Macaca fascicularis: one gene and its partners. The protein of the gene in region 1 purifies or fractionates together with the protein of each later gene. This does not show direct contact. Links are inferred from orthologs where the notes say so. Each region holds a gene or a part of one and is shown on either strand. Other genes may lie near its edges.

The links. The genes of interacting proteins can lie anywhere in the genome.
Region 2: the proteins of USP12 (region 1) and DMWD purify together in Homo sapiens (affinity purification with mass spectrometry; 3 studies listed by BioGRID and IntAct, with this or other methods). This does not show direct contact. The link is inferred for Macaca fascicularis from reciprocal best matches to the Homo sapiens genes USP12 and DMWD.
Region 3: the proteins of USP12 (region 1) and PHLPP1 purify together in Homo sapiens (affinity purification with mass spectrometry; 4 studies listed by BioGRID and IntAct, with this or other methods). This does not show direct contact. The link is inferred for Macaca fascicularis from reciprocal best matches to the Homo sapiens genes USP12 and PHLPP1.

What each region holds. Positions count from the first base shown.
Region 1 is NC_088391.1:7,177,973-7,184,321, reverse strand, and holds the start of USP12 (ubiquitin carboxyl-terminal hydrolase 12), read left to right. Parts: upstream 1-2,821; 5' UTR 2,822-2,949; coding exon 2,950-3,051; intron 3,052-6,349. UniProt on the Homo sapiens protein: Deubiquitinating enzyme that plays various roles in the regulation of the immune response and inflammation.
Region 2 is NC_088393.1:53,866,326-53,871,731, forward strand, and holds part of DMWD (dystrophia myotonica WD repeat-containing protein), read right to left. Parts: intron 2,060-5,406; coding exon 785-2,059; intron 1-784. UniProt on the Homo sapiens protein: Regulator of the deubiquitinating USP12/DMWD/WDR48 complex. Functions as a cofactor that promotes USP12 enzymatic activity.
Region 3 is NC_088392.1:17,895,027-17,900,820, forward strand, and holds part of PHLPP1 (PH domain leucine-rich repeat-containing protein phosphatase 1), read right to left. Parts: intron 2,940-5,794; coding exon 2,739-2,939; intron 1-2,738. UniProt on the Homo sapiens protein: Protein phosphatase involved in regulation of Akt and PKC signaling.

The DNA.
Region 1 (6,349 bases):
CAAAATCATTTTCTGTCTCTCTCTCTCTCTTTTTTTTCTTTTTTTTTGAGACGGAATTTTGTTCTGTCACCCAGGCTGGAGTGCAGTGGCGTGATCTTGGCTCACTGCAGCCTCCACCTCCCAGGTTCAAGCAGTTCTCCCTGCCGTAGCCTCCCGAGTAGCTGGGATTACAGGCGCCTGCCACCATGCCTGGCCAATTTTTGTATTTTTTTAGTAGAGACGGGGTTTTGCCACGTTGGCCAGGCTAGTCTCAAACTTCTGACCTCAGGTGATCCGCCCGTCGTGGTTTCCCAGAGTGCTGGGATTACAGGCATGAGCCACTGCCCCCAGCCTCTCTCTTTCTTAATACTCATAAATATCCAATCATTGTTGAAATTAGCTGATTGTCTCAAATGATCGTGGTTGGATCCATAATGTTCGTTATGTTTTGTCACTATATCTCTTAAATGTGGATCCCTCTTTCTTTTTTATTACAGTTTATCTTTTGAGGAAATCAGATTGTCCCATAGCTTTTTTTCATTTTCTGCACTTTGCTGATTGCATCCCCTTTGTGATGTTTAACGTGTTCTTCCATCCTGTATGTTTTCTGTAATTTGGTAGATCAAGAGGCCTGATCCAGATTCCTTGATCTTTTATTTTTTTTATTTTTTATTTTCCTTGCAGAAGTTGGTGTACAAGTGGTGGTGGAAAAACATAGGTGATGTGTACTTCCGGGTTGCAGGGGAATGTGGTGTCTCTTTATAATGATGAGGCTGGCATTGTCAGAACGACTCTTCTGTTATGGAGCTGCTGGCAGCTTTTTACCTAATGATTTTTAGCAACTGTTGATAATCATTGCGTAGATCCAGTGTTTCATTAGGGCTTCAGAATATAGTTTTAACTGCTTCTATAGGTTTTTTTAAGAAATATTTTTAAAAACATTGAAAGAGAATGTACATCTATTCTTTGTTGTATTTGAAGCTACACAGAAATAAACTTTTTACATTTTCAGAATATTTTCATAGTTGTATTCCCAAAATCATACATTTAGGCAGGCTAAAGTTTACAGATTAAGTTGAACCTTTTCCACACCTAGACTTAATTTTGTGATATTACAAGTGAATGAGTACATGAAGTTCTAACACATTTTTGCATCTGAACTATAATTAATAAGATTTAGCTGATTATACACTAAAACTTAACTAAGTAGTTTTTCTTTTGTTTTCCATTTTTTAATATGTTCCACCTCAGGGTTATATATTTACTGCTGCTATGCTTTAAAAAAAGCAACTTCAAATTCTTAAGCACAGGATTCTGAAAATTAGATGAACTAACCAGATACAGTTACTTTAATTTTCAGATTTTAGGGATATTAGAGTGCATTTATTTCTATTTGTTTTTCTATTTATAATGTTTAAAATGGACCAATTTGTGTGTGCATTAGTTTCCAATGAGGCTGTAACATATCACCATAAGTTTAGTGGCTTAAAATCACACAAATTTATTATTCTAAAGTTGTGGAGGTTGCCGGACGCAGTGGCTCACGCCTGTAGTCCCAGCACTTTGGGAGGCCGAGGCGGGTGGATCACAAGGTCAGAAGATCGAGGGCATCCTGGCCAACATGGTGAAACCCCATCTCTACTAAAAATACAGAGAATTAGCTGGGCATGGTGGCCTGTGCCTATTGTCCCAGGTACTTGGGAGCCTGAGGCAGGAGAATTGCTTGAACCTGGGAGGTGGAGGTTGCAATGAGCCATGATTGCGCCATTGCACTCCAGCCTGGGCGACAGAGCGAGACTCTGTTTAAAAGAAAAAAAAAAGGTTGTGTGGGTCTGGCTGGGCTGAGACCAAGGTCTTGGCTGGACTGTGTTCTTTCCTGGAGCTGCAGGAGGGACTGCTGCTTTGCCTTTGCCACCTGGACGCGGCCCTTGCCTTTTGGATCCTGGCCCCTGCAGCATCTTCAAAGCCAGCCATGACTGGCCAGTCTTTCTTTCATTACCTCCCTCAGACAGGGACTGTCCTGCTTCCCTCTTTCACTTACAAGACCCGTGTGATTACATAGGGCTGACCTGGGTAATCTGGGATAATCTCTCAAGGTCGTTTGATTTTAGCAACCTTAATTCCTTCTGCAACTTGAATTCACAGGTTCTGGGGATTAGGATGTGGACGTTTTGAGGGAGGCAGTTATTTTTCTACTACCACAATATGCACATTTTTTTTAGCTTTAAAAAATATATTAGAGGTGAAAATCAATTCGAGATATGCCTTTAATGCATTTTGGGTTGTGGTGAAAGATTGGGAAGAAGTTGAGTGGGTTTGTAAACATATACCTTTTGTACTAAGTGAACATTAAGAGGTGGTTATCTGTTCTAGTTTTGGAAGTAAAAGAATTTTTACTTCAGGTACTGTTAGCACACTACCAATCTCAGCAGGAGAAAAGTAAAGATGCAGTGGAACATTCAGGAAAATTAGCTACCAATACTTTTACAACTTTTGATGAGTAAATATAGGCTTGGTAGCATGAGAGGTTATGAAAATGGATGAAATGAATAAAAGCTGTACTACATGGCCTTGCTCAACAGAGCATATGTAAAATGTATTTTAGGATTTTAAGATTAGATCAGAACCTTTTATATTTACAGTATAGTAATTTAAATGATGGTTGGGCTTCATTAAAAGATAATCTTGGAGGTTTGGAGAGAAGGCCTTAGGCTGTGTGCTTCCTAAGAAAGAAAGGGCAGAAAAGGGCAACTGTGACATTTTCTTAGGCAAAGTGGAAAGATGTGGAAATTTCTGTGGGTGATATTAGTAGAATTTTAGTAGAGTGAAATAGATTTTTAATGGTTAAAGATAGTATCAGAAGAAGCTCTAATTTGAGGATTGCCAGATCTCAAAATATTTTTGTTTTGAAGTTTATTAAACGACTGCCATAATTAGATTTGATACCTCAGTAAACTTACGAGAAATAGGATGAAACATAGAACCTGGACTTCTAGGGACTTCGTTTTTCTCATTTTGCTTGTAAGTCTGAAGAAAACCAACAGAGCAAGAGAGGCTAAGAAAAGAGACATGGTAAGGAGACAGAAAAGAATAATGAGTGAATATTGGTGTATGGGCTGTGCTGGGTTAACTATTAAGTATGAGTGATTCTTACTCTTAAGGAAGATACGTCTTTTTGGGGAAATGAGCCTTACATGCACATCCAACAGAACAGTATCAGAAAAGTGGGTGTATGAGCTCCATGAGGGTGATTTGTGGAAGGGGAAAGGTTGAACATTTCATTCTCAAGTACTAGCAGGATCTGTAACTCTAATGTACCGATTAATGGATTATAGCACAGCTTTTTATTGTTACAGAAGTGACATATCCACTCTTGCCATTCCCATTTTTGGAGTTTATTGTTACTAGATTTCATAGTACTTGAAACTGGAAAATATTTCTATTTCATTACTATGTTTTTGTATGCATATGTATATATGTTTTATCTTAAAAACAAAATTTATATTGAAGATGTTAAAAGTGAATTTGAGTTTTGGACCTTAAGCTTTATTTATTTACTTATTTTTTTCTGAGACAGAGTCTCATTCTGTTGCCCAGGCTGGGGTGCAGTGGCATGATCTTGGCTCACTGCAACCTCTGCCTCCTGGGTTCGGGTGACGCTCCTGCCTCAGCCTCCCAAGTAGCTGAGATTACAGGTGCCTGCCACCACACCTGGCTAATTTTTGTATTTTTTAGTAGAAAGAGGGTTTCACCATGTTGGCCAGGCTAGTCTCGAACTCCTGACCTCAGGTGATCAGCCTGCCTCAGCCTCTCAGAGTGCTGGCATTATAGGTGTGAGCCACCACGCCTGGCCAGGACACTGAGCTTTAAATGTCAGATATAAACAATTCATCAAAAGAGACTCCAAGTTGAGACGGAGTCTTGCTCTGTCACCCAGGCTGGAGTGCAGTGGTGTGATCTTGGCTCATTGTAAGCTCTGCCTCCTGGGTTCACACTATTCTCCTGCCTCAGCCTCCTGAGTAGCTGGGACTACAGGCGACCGCCACCATGCCCTGGCCAATTTTTTGTATTTTTAGTAGAGACGGGGTTTCACCGTGTTAGCCAGGATGGTCTCAGTCTCCTAACCTGGCGATCCGCCTGCCTCAGCCTCCCAAAGTGCTGGGAATACAGGCGTGAGCCGCCGCACCTGGCACAAACTCTTTTTTCATAAAACAGCTTTATTGAGATATAATTCACATACCATACTAGTCATCCATTTAAAGTGTACAATTTAGTGGCTTTTAGTATATTGATAGAGTTTTGCATTTATCACCACAGTCAGTTTTAATCACCTGAAAGATACTTTATACCCTTTAGCTATCATCTCTCTCCTCCTCCTTTTCTTTCCCTCCCCCTTCCAGCCCTAGGCAAACCAACCACTGATTGACTTTATGTGTTTATATAATTTTCTGCTTTGGACTTTAGTATATGGAATCATAGAGTATATGGTTTTTGGCACTGTTTTCAAGGTTCGTTTATGTTGTGATATGTATTAGTAAAAACTCTGAAAACTACAAAATATTGCTAAAAGAAATTAAAGGAAATCTAAACACAGAAAAAAAATACCATGTTCACAGACTGGAAGACTTTAACACTTAAAATGGTAATACTCCACAAACTGATCTACAGGCTCGATGACATCCTCATCATGGCTTTTAATGGACAAATACTGTTCCATTGTGTGGATATACTACATTTGTTTATTTGTTCATTAATGGACATTTTGGCCATTTCTACCTTATGGCTATTTTGAATAATACTAATGTAAACATTGGGGGTGCAAGCTTTTTATGCACATATGTTTTGTTTTCCCATGTGTCTGTACTTTGGAGTGGAATTGCCATTTAATCTTTTGAGGATCTGCCAGATTGTTTTCCAAAGATGCACCATTTTATGTTCCTGCCAACAGTGTATGGCTGTTCCCATTTCTCTGCATCCCCATTGGTACTTGTTATCTGACTTTCTGATTGTAGCCATTCCATTTTGGGTGTGAGGTGGTATCTCATCTCATTGTGGTTTTGATTTGCATTTCCCTGATGAATAATGATGTTGAGCACCTCTTTATGTACTTATTGGCGATTTGTGTATCTTCTGTGGAAAAATATCTATTTGCATTCTTTGGCTGTTCTTTGAGTTGTCTTTTAATTGTTGTAAGAGTTTTTTTTGTTGTTGTTTTGTTTTTGTTTTTTCAAGACAGGATCTTGCTGTGTTACTCAGGCTGGAGTGTAGTGACATGATCATCCCTTGCCACTCCAGTTCTCAAGTCATCCTCCCACCTCAGCTTCCGGAGTAGCTAGGAGTACAGGTGCATACCCCTATACCTGGCTAATTTTTTACTTTTCGTAGAGATGGGTTCTTGCTATGTTTTGCCCAGGCTGGTCTTGAACTCCTGGCCCTTGGGATCCTCTTGCCTAGTCCTCCCAAAGCACTGGAATTACAGGCATTAGCCACCCTGCCTGGCCTTGGTGTAAGAGTTCGTTATATATTCTGGATACAAGTTTCTTGTTAGTTATGTCATTTGCTAATATTTCCTCCCATTCTATGGGTTGTCTTTTCATTTTCTTGAGGGTGCCATTTGAAGCACAAAATTTAATTTTGATTTTGATGAAGTCTAATTTATCTAATTTTTTTTTCTCTTTTCCTTTTTTTTTTGGAGGCAGAGTCTTACTGTGTCACTGGATATTGGCTCACGGCCACCTCCACTTCCTGTGTTCAAACAGTTGTGCCTCAGACTCCCGAGTAGCTGGGATTACAGTTGCGTGCCACCATGTCCAGCTGATTTTTTTGTATTTTTAGTAGAGATGGGGTTTCGCCATGTTGTCCAGGGTGGTCTTGAACTCTTGGCCTCAAATGATCTGCCCACCTCGACCTCCCAAAGAGCTGGGATTACAGGTGTGAGCCACAACGTCTGGCCTGAGTTTTTTCTTTTGTTGTTCATGCTTTCGGTGTCATATTCATATTTTATAATCCTTTGCCAAATCCCATGTCAATCCTTTGCCAAATCCAATGTTTTTCTTTTAAGAGTTTTCTGGGTGTTGCTGTTCATATACTTCTTTGATCTATTTGGAGTTAGTTTTTTGTACATGGTTTGAGGTAAAGGTAACTTCATTCTTTTGTATGTGACTGTCCATTTGTCCCAGCGCCAGTTGTTAAAAAGACTATTCTTTCTCTGTCGTTTGGAGTTGGCACCCTTGTTGAAAATCATTTGACCATAGATGTATGAGTTTCTGGATCCTCAATTTTATTTCATTGATTTGTATGTTTGCCTCTCTGCCAGTACCACACTGTCATGATTGCAATCATAGCTCATTGCATCTCGTACTCCTGGACT
Region 2 (5,406 bases), on another chromosome or scaffold:
TCAGACTGTACTCTCAAGTTCTAGGGACTCAGGACTCTACAATACCAAAACCGAGGATCTGAGGAACCAAGCCACAGCCTCCAGGACCCTGGGCAGCTGAGTCCAAGCCCTAAGGAGCGGAGACACCCAAGACAAGCTCCGGACTGACAAGATGCCAGGCCTGCTTTTGCCTACTGTGACCTTTCCAACACCATAGCCCACCCAGGAGGCAAACGCATCCCCCCTCTGCCCATTCTACAGGCTCTAAGACTTAGGTGATAAGTTGGAGGTTAGAGAGAGCAGTGACTTGTCCGGGATCACACAGGGAATGGGACTGGAACCCAGGCCTGGGATTCCCAGACTGTGCCTTCAGCAGGAGGCTCAGATCCTGAGTCCAGAACCAGCCTGGCAGCCATGCCCACAGGCTTGAGCTCGCCCCTAGAGTTTTGGCCTGAAGTACTCAAAAAAGTTTCACCATTTAAAAAACAGATGTTCAATAGAAATAGATTTTGGTTCGAGTGACAGGCAGCAAGACTTGGCCATGCGGGGCCCATCTGCTGCCCTTCAGACGGCCAGCCTTGGACGCCCCGTCTCCCAGCTGGCTCTCACACCCACCCCTCTCTCTGCTGCCTGCCACCTGGGAATCTGAGAGGTCTTGTTCTGAGACACTAAGATTTCCATGGCTTCCCCTCACCCCACGAAGCCAGAGGCTGTGACAGCAACAAAGCCCTCTCTCTGCCAATGACTGCTTCTTCCCACCAAGGGTCCTGCCAGGTCCCCGGCAGGCTGGCATGGAGCCACTCACCGCCTTGCCCGGCCGGGCCCAGGTGCAGATGAGGCCCTCCTGGCAGGCAGTGATGATGCAGTCCTCCAGAAACAGGAGGACTGTGAGCCGCTCCTGCGCGATCTTCTTGCACACGAGGGGCTCCAGCAGGGGCACCTCATGGATGCGTGGGCACAGTGCGGTGCCCAGCACCTTGGCGGGGTCCAGGCGGCTGCGGGGAATAGGGCCGCTGGGCTTCTCCCCACTGCCGCCGCCACCGCTGCCACCCCGGCTGATGTTGCCCAGGCTGTGGTAGCGCTTGTGCTCCTTCTCGGCCCCCCGGTCCCGCCGCTCCTGCAATGTGAGCGTGGCGAAGCGGCCGATGCTGAATGGTGTGCCAGGCTCTGCTGCCACGCCCGGGCCGCCTGCCTTGCCCCCGCCCGCCGGGTGCGGGAGGCTGTTGGAGCGGGACAGCGAGCGAGGCAGTGGGCCCGGGCCAGGCTCGCCACCCCTGGAGCTGCTGGCGGCCGGTGGCGTGGTGCCAGGAGTGCCAGGGAGGGTGCGCGTGCGGGCCAGGGGCGGGTGCGGGTAGAGCACATCTTCAGTGAGGTCCCACAGACAGAACTGCGTGTCCTGGCCCGCCGAGCCAAAGCGGTAAGTGATGGAGCCAGCCTTGGGCAGTGGAGAGAGCGGGGCACCCCCGGCCGAGCCTGTGCCCGCAGCCTCGGGCTCCTCCTCCTCCTCCTCGCCACTCCGCTCCCCGTCAGCACCGGCTGCTGTCGCCGCCTCCTCTGCCCGTGTGGTGTAGGGGTCGAAGGCCACAGCGTTGACCCAGGACTTGTGGCCGTGGCCTCGAGCCACCACGCGGCCCTCAGTGAAGGACCACACGGTGACCAGGTCATCTTCACCACCCGTCACCACGTAACGGCCGTCGGGGCTCCAGCACACACACAGCAGGCCCCCAAAGTAGCTCTTCATGAGCCCGCGCAGGAGCATGGAGTCGAAATGGAAGACGCGCAGGCAGCCATCCTGGCTCACACAGGCCAGGTGCCGGCCATCAGGCGAGAAGGCGAACTCGTTGAGGGGCCCCTCGCCCACCGCCCACTTGGCCAGTGGGTTGCGGGGCGCCTTGCTCTTGGCCGCATAGACAGAGAAGCCCTCGCCCTGCTTCAGCAGGCTGTACTGGGGTGGGGCCGAGGCGCACGGGTGGCTGACGTTGTATAGGTACAGGTGGCCACTGGCGTGTGATGCCAGGAACAGGCTCTCCGACTCAGGCAGCCACTTCAGATACGTCACCTTGGTCTTGTCGATCAGCCGCTGCCAGGGGAGACAGGGTGGGGTTGGGAGAAGGCAGTAAAACTCAGGCAGACCTTCTCCCCAACCTGAAGTCCCCAAGGCCATTGGACACGGCCCCGCCCACACAGCAGATGCCACACCAGGCCCAGGTCCTCCTCGACGAGAAGCTCCCAAACTGGGGAAGACAGATGGATACTGGGTCATGAAGACATGGGGGAACAGGGGCTGCTCCAAGGAGCCTCAATGTGTCATCTTTGGTGAGGGGACAGTCCTGCTTGCCATAGAATTGTCCTGTATCTCAGGGTCCTCAACCTCTGGGCCATGGAACAGTAGTGGTCTGTGGCCTGTTAGGAACCGGGCCATGCAGCAGAAGGTGAGCGGTGAGCAAGCAGGCATTACAGCCTGAGCCCGGCCTCCTACTGGAGCAGCGCACCATTTGATCCTCATAGGAGCGCAAACCCCACCATGAACTGCGCATGCGAGGGAGCTAGGTGTGCGCTCCTTACTAGAATCTAACACCTGATGATCAGAGGTGGAACGGTTTCATCCCAAAACCATCCCCCCAGCAGTTCGTGGAAAGACTGTCTTCCCTAAGCCGGTCCCTGGTGCCAAAAAGGTTGGGGACCTCTGCTCTATCTACCTAACCCTCCCCCAATCTTTACTATGTCAGGCTTTAAGCAGGAAATTTCTTCACAGAAAGCCAGCTCCCCAAAGGAAGGGATCTTTGTTTGGTTCGCTGTTCTTTAAAGCAGTGCACACAGGAGGCGGCCTGAAGGTAATTCCTGGACAAATGAGTGACAACCCGCCATCCTGCTAGGTGCTTAAGACAAAAAACCTCAGCACCTGCCCTTTTCCTCACATCCAATCCTTCCACAAATCCTGTGGGCTCAACCTTCAAAATACACCCCGAATCGGCCGGCACGGTGGCTCACGCCTGTACTTCCAGCACTTTGGGAGGGCAAGGCGGGCGGATCACAAAGTCAGGAGTTCCAGACCAGCCTAGCCAATATGGTGAAACCCTATCTCTACTAAAAATACAAAAATTAGCCAGGCATGGTGGTGGGCGCCTGTAGTTCCAGCTACTCAGGAGGCTGAGGCAGGAGAATTGCTTGAACCCGGGAGGCGCAGGTTGCAGTGAGCGGAGACCATGCCACTGTACTCCAGCCTAGGCAACAGAGCGAGACTCCATCTCAAAAGAAAAAGAAAAACTACACCCAGAATCTGACCTCCTCTCACCATCCCATCCAGCCACCCCAAGCCTGCAATGTTGTGTGACTGGCCTCAGGCTCCACTGCCTGGGCCTGTCTGTCCTCTGCAGCAGCCACAGCAATGCTCTGTTAAGTATCAGTCAGCACCTGGCACTGTCCTGCTCTGAACGCTTAGCAGCCTCTCTCAAGCAGGGTTCCAGAGCCCAGGGCCCTAATGCCCTCAGGCAGTCAGCATATGCAACTAAGGAGCTGCTCTCCCAGGATGAGAGGCCTCCCATCCTTGGGAGAACTGAGCAAATAATCACTCCAGTCACTTCTGCCTTCCAGGGCTCAGCTGAGCCCCGATGAGAAAGGCTCCTCCACAGGTTTCCAACTAAGAGTAAGGCAAAGTCTCTCCACCGCCTTCCAGACTCCCCATGAGCCGGCCCCTCTGTTATTTCCTGGAACTCATCTACCATCCTCTCTCCCTCAGTAACTGCTCTGGCCACACGACTTCTGTGCTATCCTGCATTTGTCCTAGCTGGTCCCACTACTCAGAATGTCCTTCTTGGCTGGGTGTGGTGGCCCAGCCCTATAATCCCAGCACTTTGGGAGGCCAAGGCAGGAGAATCGCTTGAGCCCAGGAGTTCGAGACTAGTCTGGGCAACACAAAGAGATCCCATCTCTATGAAAAATACAAGCCAATTGTGGTGGTGCTTGCCTGTAGTCCCCGCTACTCAGGAGGCTGACATGGGAGGATTGCTTGAGCCTGGGAGGCAGAGGTTGCAGTGAACCAAGATCGTATCACTGCACTTCAGCATGGACGACAGAGTGAGACCCTATCTTGAAAGGAAAAAAAAAAAAAAAAAAGATGCCCTTCCCCAGGCAACTCTTCTCACCTGCCTCCTTCAGGTCTTTATTTCAATATCACCTCTTAGTGAGGGCTTTCCTGACCACCCTATTAGACTCTTCAAGCTTCCCTCAGCTCCTTCCCCACTGTTTCTTCTAAACAGGCCTTAATCACCTGCTGACACATGAAGACTTAACTTGATTAACTGTCCATCTCCCCAGCTAGACTGAAAGCTCCAAAAGGGCAGGGCCTCCTGTCCAGGGCCCTGAGATGTGATATCCCTACTGCTGGGAACGGTGCCTGGCACAGAACGGATGCTCAAAAACTATTTGTGAATGGATGAGCTAATGAATTTTTAATCCACTCACTATTCCGTTCACTCCCTTCAGCCATTCACTCATTCTGAGAATATTTATGGAACACCTCCTCTGGACCAGAGAGAATGAGACAGAAGCCAAGAGCAGTCCCTGCCCGCGGATAAGGTCGTTTACTGGTATCTCCTCGTAGGCCAAGTTGGCCCAGGACTGAGCAATCTCCATGTATGATTCTACAACAGCGGTTCTGCAAGGTAGGAACTGGAATCCCATTTTGCAGAGAAGGAGAAGTGAGGCTCAGAGAATGGTCACCTTCCCAAAGTCACACGGTGAGTAAGTGGTGCAGCAGGGTTTTGAATCCAAAGCCTCCAAAGCCCAGAACTCAAAGAGCAAGGGTATCAACTAAGTCCCAACTTATTTACTAGCCTCAATTCTCTAATCTGCAAAATGGGCAGCACACTTCTGCATCCACTGGTTGATGAAAACTCAAGGAGTGGCCAGGCGCGGTGGCTCACGCCTGTAATCCCAGCACTTTCGGAGGGCGAGGCAGGTGGATCACGAGGTCAGGTGTTTGAGACCAGTCTGGCTAACATGATGAAACCCAGTCTCTACCAAAAATACAAAAATTAGCTAGGTATGATGGTGGGCACCTATAATTCCAGCTACTCAGGAGGCTGAGGCAGGGGAATTGCTTGAACTGGGGAGGCAGAGGTTGCAGTGAGCAGAGATTGTACCAATGTGCTCCAGCCTGGGTGACAGAGCAAGATTCTGCCTCAAAAAGGAAAAAAAATTAAAAACAATAACAATTACAATTACAATTAAAAAAAAAAAAACCGGGTATGGTGGCTCACGCCTGTAACAACAGCACTTTGGGAGGCCGAGGCAGGCGGATCACGAGGTCAGGAGACTGAGACCATCCTGGCTAACACGGTGAAACCCCGTCTCTATTAAAAATACAAAAAATTAGCTGGCCGTGGTGGTGGGCGCCTGTAGTCCCAGCTACTTGGGAGGCTGAGG
Region 3 (5,794 bases), on another chromosome or scaffold:
TTTATTGTTCAATCTTCCTCATCTATAATCTTCATCAATAATTACAATAACTAAAGAAAAATTCCAGAATCAGGGTTTCTTGCATTCTTTATAACTTTGAAAGAAAAACCAACACCTCCACCTCTGCAATCACTGTAATAGTATCTGGCACTGTTTTGACCCTCTTTCCACTCCAAGAAGCACAGGATTCCCCATTAGTGTGACTCAGACTCATAAGGTGAATAATAGTTTAAATTTTTTGGTATCATTTCTACCTGTTACAGTTTCATTTGTCACAGTACACTTTTAAACAATTTAACAAAAAAAAACTGTATTATTTTTCTGTCATATTTCAAATATAAAGATTATCTTGTTGATAAGATACAGTAAAAACTAAGTTTTTATCTTATGAAGTCAGACTTTTTAATATCATATACATCCAGTATGGTATCAGAATATACTACAAACAATCTGTACACAGACTATGAAGTAATTCATCTATGATAGCCCGAATTTCTAAGAATATTATTTAAATATGCTGTCATCATATTTTGAAAGAAATATAGTGCTATGGTTTGGATTATTTGTCCCCTCCAAATCTCATGTTGAAATGTGATTCCCAGGCCGGGCGCGGTGGCTCAGGCCTGTAATCCCAGCACTTTGGGAGGCCAAGACAGGCGGATCACGAGGTCAGGAGATCGAGACCATCCTGGCTAACACGGTGAAACCCCGTCTCTACTAAAAAATACAAAAAACTAGCCGGGCGAGGTGGCGGGCGCCTGTAGTCCCAGCTACTCGGGAGGCTGAGGCAGAAGAATGGCGTGAACCCGGGAGGCAGGGCTTGCAGTGAGCCAAGATTGTGCCACTGCACTCCAGCCTGGGCGACAGAGCGAGACTCCGTCTCAAAAAAAAAAAGAAATTTGATTCCCAATGTTAGAAGTGGGGCCTAGTAGGGGGTGTTCAGGTCATGGGAGCAGATACCACATGAATGGTTTGATGCCCTTCCCATGGTAATAACTGAATTCACATGCTGTGCATTCACACAAGACCCTGGCATCTCTTTTGCCCTCTCTCTCACCATGTGACACAATGGCTCCCCTTCACCTTCTGCCATGATTGTAAGCTTCCTGAAGACTCACCAGAAGCAGATGCCAGCCCTGTGCCTTGAAACTAATGGGTAATGGTGCATGAAAAATGATTAAAAGCACAGAAAACAGGCCCCCAGAAGAAAAAGTTAAAGAAATTTCCAACTCACAACATAAAAAGAAGGTGGCAAAAGATGTGAAGACAAAATGACTAGATGGTGGTCACGTTCTTTAATTCAGCAACCATTTAAGTGTGGGCCTTGTGTGAAATGTGAGGCTGAGGGAAACAGCAAGGTCACAGACCCAGCTCTTAAGGTGCTCTGGTTTGCAGGGGAGCTACTGAGCCACATCACAACCACAGGGAGACAGAATTCATTCCTAGATGGATTTTTTACAAGGTGTGTTAAAAGTTTCTCTCCACTCAGCGTGGGTGATTACACCTGGCATGGGTCACTGGGGGTATATCCTCAGAATTAGAGCTGATGATCCTTTCCTCTGCAGGGTTTAGACATTCATCATCTGAAAGAAGACAATGAGCCCTTTCAGATAGGTTGCTGTTATGTGATTATCATGGTTTTTTCCAAAAATATAATTTCCCCATTCCATAGTGAAGTAAAAGTAGATGGAAGTAAGCATAAAATATTTTAATCATTAATGTCAAATGAGGAGGAAAGTAAGTATTTCATTACGCCAAAAACAGAGCAATACTTTAAGTCAACACATACTTGGGCCTTCCTTCTTAGCAAGGGCTTGAATAGAGTGGTAGCCCTGAAGGCAGCAGAGGGAGGCTATGATAGTGTTTTGGTCTAGCCCCAGTGCTGAGTTACAGTTACCACAAGCAGAATACCAGAAGGGTTAGTGTTTGCTTCTTTGATGCGTGGGTGTGTGTTTCAAGCCCTAACTTGTTAGATGGATAAAAGCCAATGAAATGGAAACAGGGTAAATCCTCATGGCAGGCTCAGCACATAGATTCACTCAAAGCTAGATATAATGTCACCGCTCCCCCAAAATTAGAAATTAAAGTAAAAACAAATTAAAAATGGACTCTTTTGAGCCATAATTTGCAATGTTACAGTTTCTATGGTAGTAGAGTCTACCACTGCTCTGTACATCATAAGTATGAATATAAAAGTTGGTAGATAATGAAGGATTTTCAGGTTCCTGGTTTACATTCTAATTCCCACATACCCTATTAGGTTAATGTTTTTGGAAACTTTATTATTTACTTTATTTTTTAATAGATAGGGTGTCACTATGTTGCCCAGGCTAGTCTCGAATTCTTGAGCTCAAGTGACCCTCCCACCTCAGCCTCCTGAGTAGCTGGGACTACAGGCACGCACCGCCACACCTGGCTCTAGGATAATAGTTTTTTAAAAAATTAATCTGACTGGTTAAAAAGAAGTAAAAGAAAAAACATACCTGCTAAACAACACATTTTATTTCAAAATCTTAAGAACATTCTTGTGATTAGGTCTTTGGACACGTATGAGGAAAACCAATCTACTTCTCTTCAGGGAAATGTCATCACAGCTTATATAAAGGAAACTGTGAATGGAGCAGGAACAAGGAAACAAACTTGATATCACCTGGGAAATAAATATTTCAGCTTTCATCTTTCTATGAATACACTTTGAGAAACCCAATTCAGAACACAGCTTTACGATTCTCCTTTACCTGGCTGGAAAACTCTGAAGTCGGTTATAGGCCATGTGAAGGATCTTCAAATGTGGGTGTCCCGTTAACAAGGGCACACATTTGTCTGTGAGGCTGTTATTTGTCAAATACAACTCTTGTAAGATACTGTTTGTCTCTTCAGAAAGCGTGGCTGGAGGAAGGCTTTCCAGTTTGTTCGCAGATGCGTTCAGGAATCTCAGGCTACAATGACAAAATGTAACAAAACGCTATTGAAAAGTCACAAAACTCCTCAAGAAACCTAGAAGCTTTGATACCAGGCATATTAGAAGCTGGGATTAGAAACATGAATTGAAAAGACAAGCCCTGGCTTCAAGAAGTTCAGTTAGCAAGTATTTGTATCTGTGATCCATTAACTATGATGAACACAATAGCTATCTATATGTATTAAATACAGAGATACAATCAAGTTTTATGGAAGCACAAAGTTAAGAGGAAGGCAATTATTTCTATAGTTGGCGGGGAGTGGAAGAGAAAGTGATATGGTAAAGTTAATATTCTGACTTAAGGAAGAGAAAAACAATTTCCTATTTTGTAATCAAAAGTTCTTGCTAAAGCAGGAGGATGCCAGGAGTTTGAGACCAGCCTGGGCAACAAAGTAAGATCCTGCCTCTATAAAAATTAGGTGAATAAATAAATGGTTCTTATAGTAATAAAACAGGTATTAGATCACAATACAACTAAATCACATAGTGACTTGAGTCCTCTTCAGTATAAGGTCCAATGCACATTTTACTGACTTTCACAAGTGCAGGAGATAATTTGCTCTGTCTTAAAACAACATAATATGATGTAGCAATGAGAATAAAGAACTAAAACAGCATGTATCAACAGGATGAATCTCACAAACATATAATGACCAAAAGAAGCCAGATAAAAGAGGAGACCCACTGTATGATCCCATAACTACATAAAGTTCAAAGTCAGGCAAAATTACTCTGTAGTAACAGAAGTCAGGATGGCAGTAACTCTTAGGTGGGGAGGGAAAGGAGGCAGTATCCAGGAGATGGCGTGTAACGTTTCAAATATCATAATGTTCTTAGGTAGGGAGGGAAAGGAGGCAGCATCCAGGACAGGGCGTGTAACATTTCGAATATTGTAATGTTCTTAGGCAGGGAGGGAAAGGAGGAAGCATCCAGGAGAGGGCGTGTAAGGTTTCAAATATTGTAATGTTCTTAGGAAGGGAGGGAAAGGAGGCAGTATCCAGGAGAGGGCGTGTAACGTTTCAAATATTGTAATATTCTGTTTCTTAGTCCAGATGCTGGTTACACAAGTGTGTTCACTTTGAGATGATGCATCAAGTGCTACACTTATGATCTGGCCACTTTTCTGTACTTATATTGTACTTAAATAAATTTCACATTAAAACAAACAATATACGTGCTGCCACAGTTTCCAGATGCTAGAGTGAAAAGTGGATAAAGCATAAAGAATGGTTTTATAACTAAGATAACAAATCGTCAAAAACAATAAATAAAAAATCTTTCACGGTGATTGTGAAATGTAGTTAAACGCACAATGCAAAGCTGGGGAATGGCAACAAATCCTTGCTGTGATCAGGTTCCAAATCACTCCAAAGGGACGGACTGTGTCACACTCAGGAGTCAGAGATGACCCTCCTGATTCATGACGAATGTCCAACTGTGCAGCTGCAGCAGGTGGGAAAGAGACAGTGCTCAGTACATAGGACCTGCCTACAAGAGTTAGAAGGGTCAAATCTCCCATGCCTCTCTCTGGCCCCCAGATCAACCCTGTTGATGAGCCACACTATTCCCTCACTTCAATCACTTTGGTTTGAAATTTTCACCATTCAATTCAGGACTATTCTGCCATTTCTTAAAAAAAAGAAGAAGAAGAAGAAAATCATCCTTAAAAATAATACAAAATACCAAGCACAGTTATTTTTAATCTTGGATACGAAAAAAAAAGGCTATTAGGAGTCCTCACCAGGACTGTCACTCCAAGCTCTCAGTCCACTAATTTAAAACTCTTCAATCTCATATAACCCCTTCAACACACAAACACCAACTCCATTACTTATCTGAGGAAAAGCAGCTTCCCCAAAATAGAACATTTTCCATTAAAGAAACACGTATTCCGTTGACATTAAAAAAAAAAAGGAAGTTAGAGAAGGGCTGTCCAGACCATAAATAGTCATGGGAAATTATAGTCGTGTGTGCTACAGAGAAGGAAATAAAGGTCACTCTTGCAGTTTCTAAAATGGTTTGGAACTAGGAAGGAAACAAGTTTCAGCACCATAGTTGTTTACCATTGCTGTTTAGAGTATTTTTATAAGTCTGTCTCTTTAGACCCCATTTAGACCACCTAATTTCCTGTTAAGAATTTCTTTAGTGTAGCATTAGGATAAATTACAATGTAAGAAACAAATTTTATTGCCCTAAAATATCATGGACTAGTGTTGGGCTGGGAAATTATATAAAATAATTTCATTAAAATAGAATTCTCAGCTGGGCGCAATGGCTCACACCTGTAATCCCAGCACTTTGGGCAGCTGAGGCGGGTGGATCACCTGAGGTCAGGAGTTTGAGACCAGCCTGGCCAACATGGTGAAACCCCCAGTCTCTACTAAAAATACAAATATTAGCTGGGTCTGGTGGCAGGTACCTGTAATCCCAGCTACTCGGGAGGGTGAGGCAGGAGAATCACTTGAACCCAGGAGGCAGAGGTTGCAGTGAGCCAAGACTGCACATTGCACTCTAGCCTGAGCAACAAGAGCAAAACTCTGGCTCAAACAAAACAAAAGAAAAAGAAAAAAGACAAAAATAGAATTCTCTAGGAAATATGTAGTTACACACACACACATATACACACATATGAGACAGATAAAACAAAGTGAATTCATGTTTGCATACTTTTCAGGCCAGAAAAAGAGGGAATGTTTTAAAAACAGACAAGTGAATGTTCATCTAGAAAGCTGCCAAGCAACTTAAAAAACCCCTCATGGCATCTGAATAAAGAGAGGAAAGTGATTTCCTCAAAGATTTATCCTCTCATCTTTTTGAAATTTGTCTGTAATT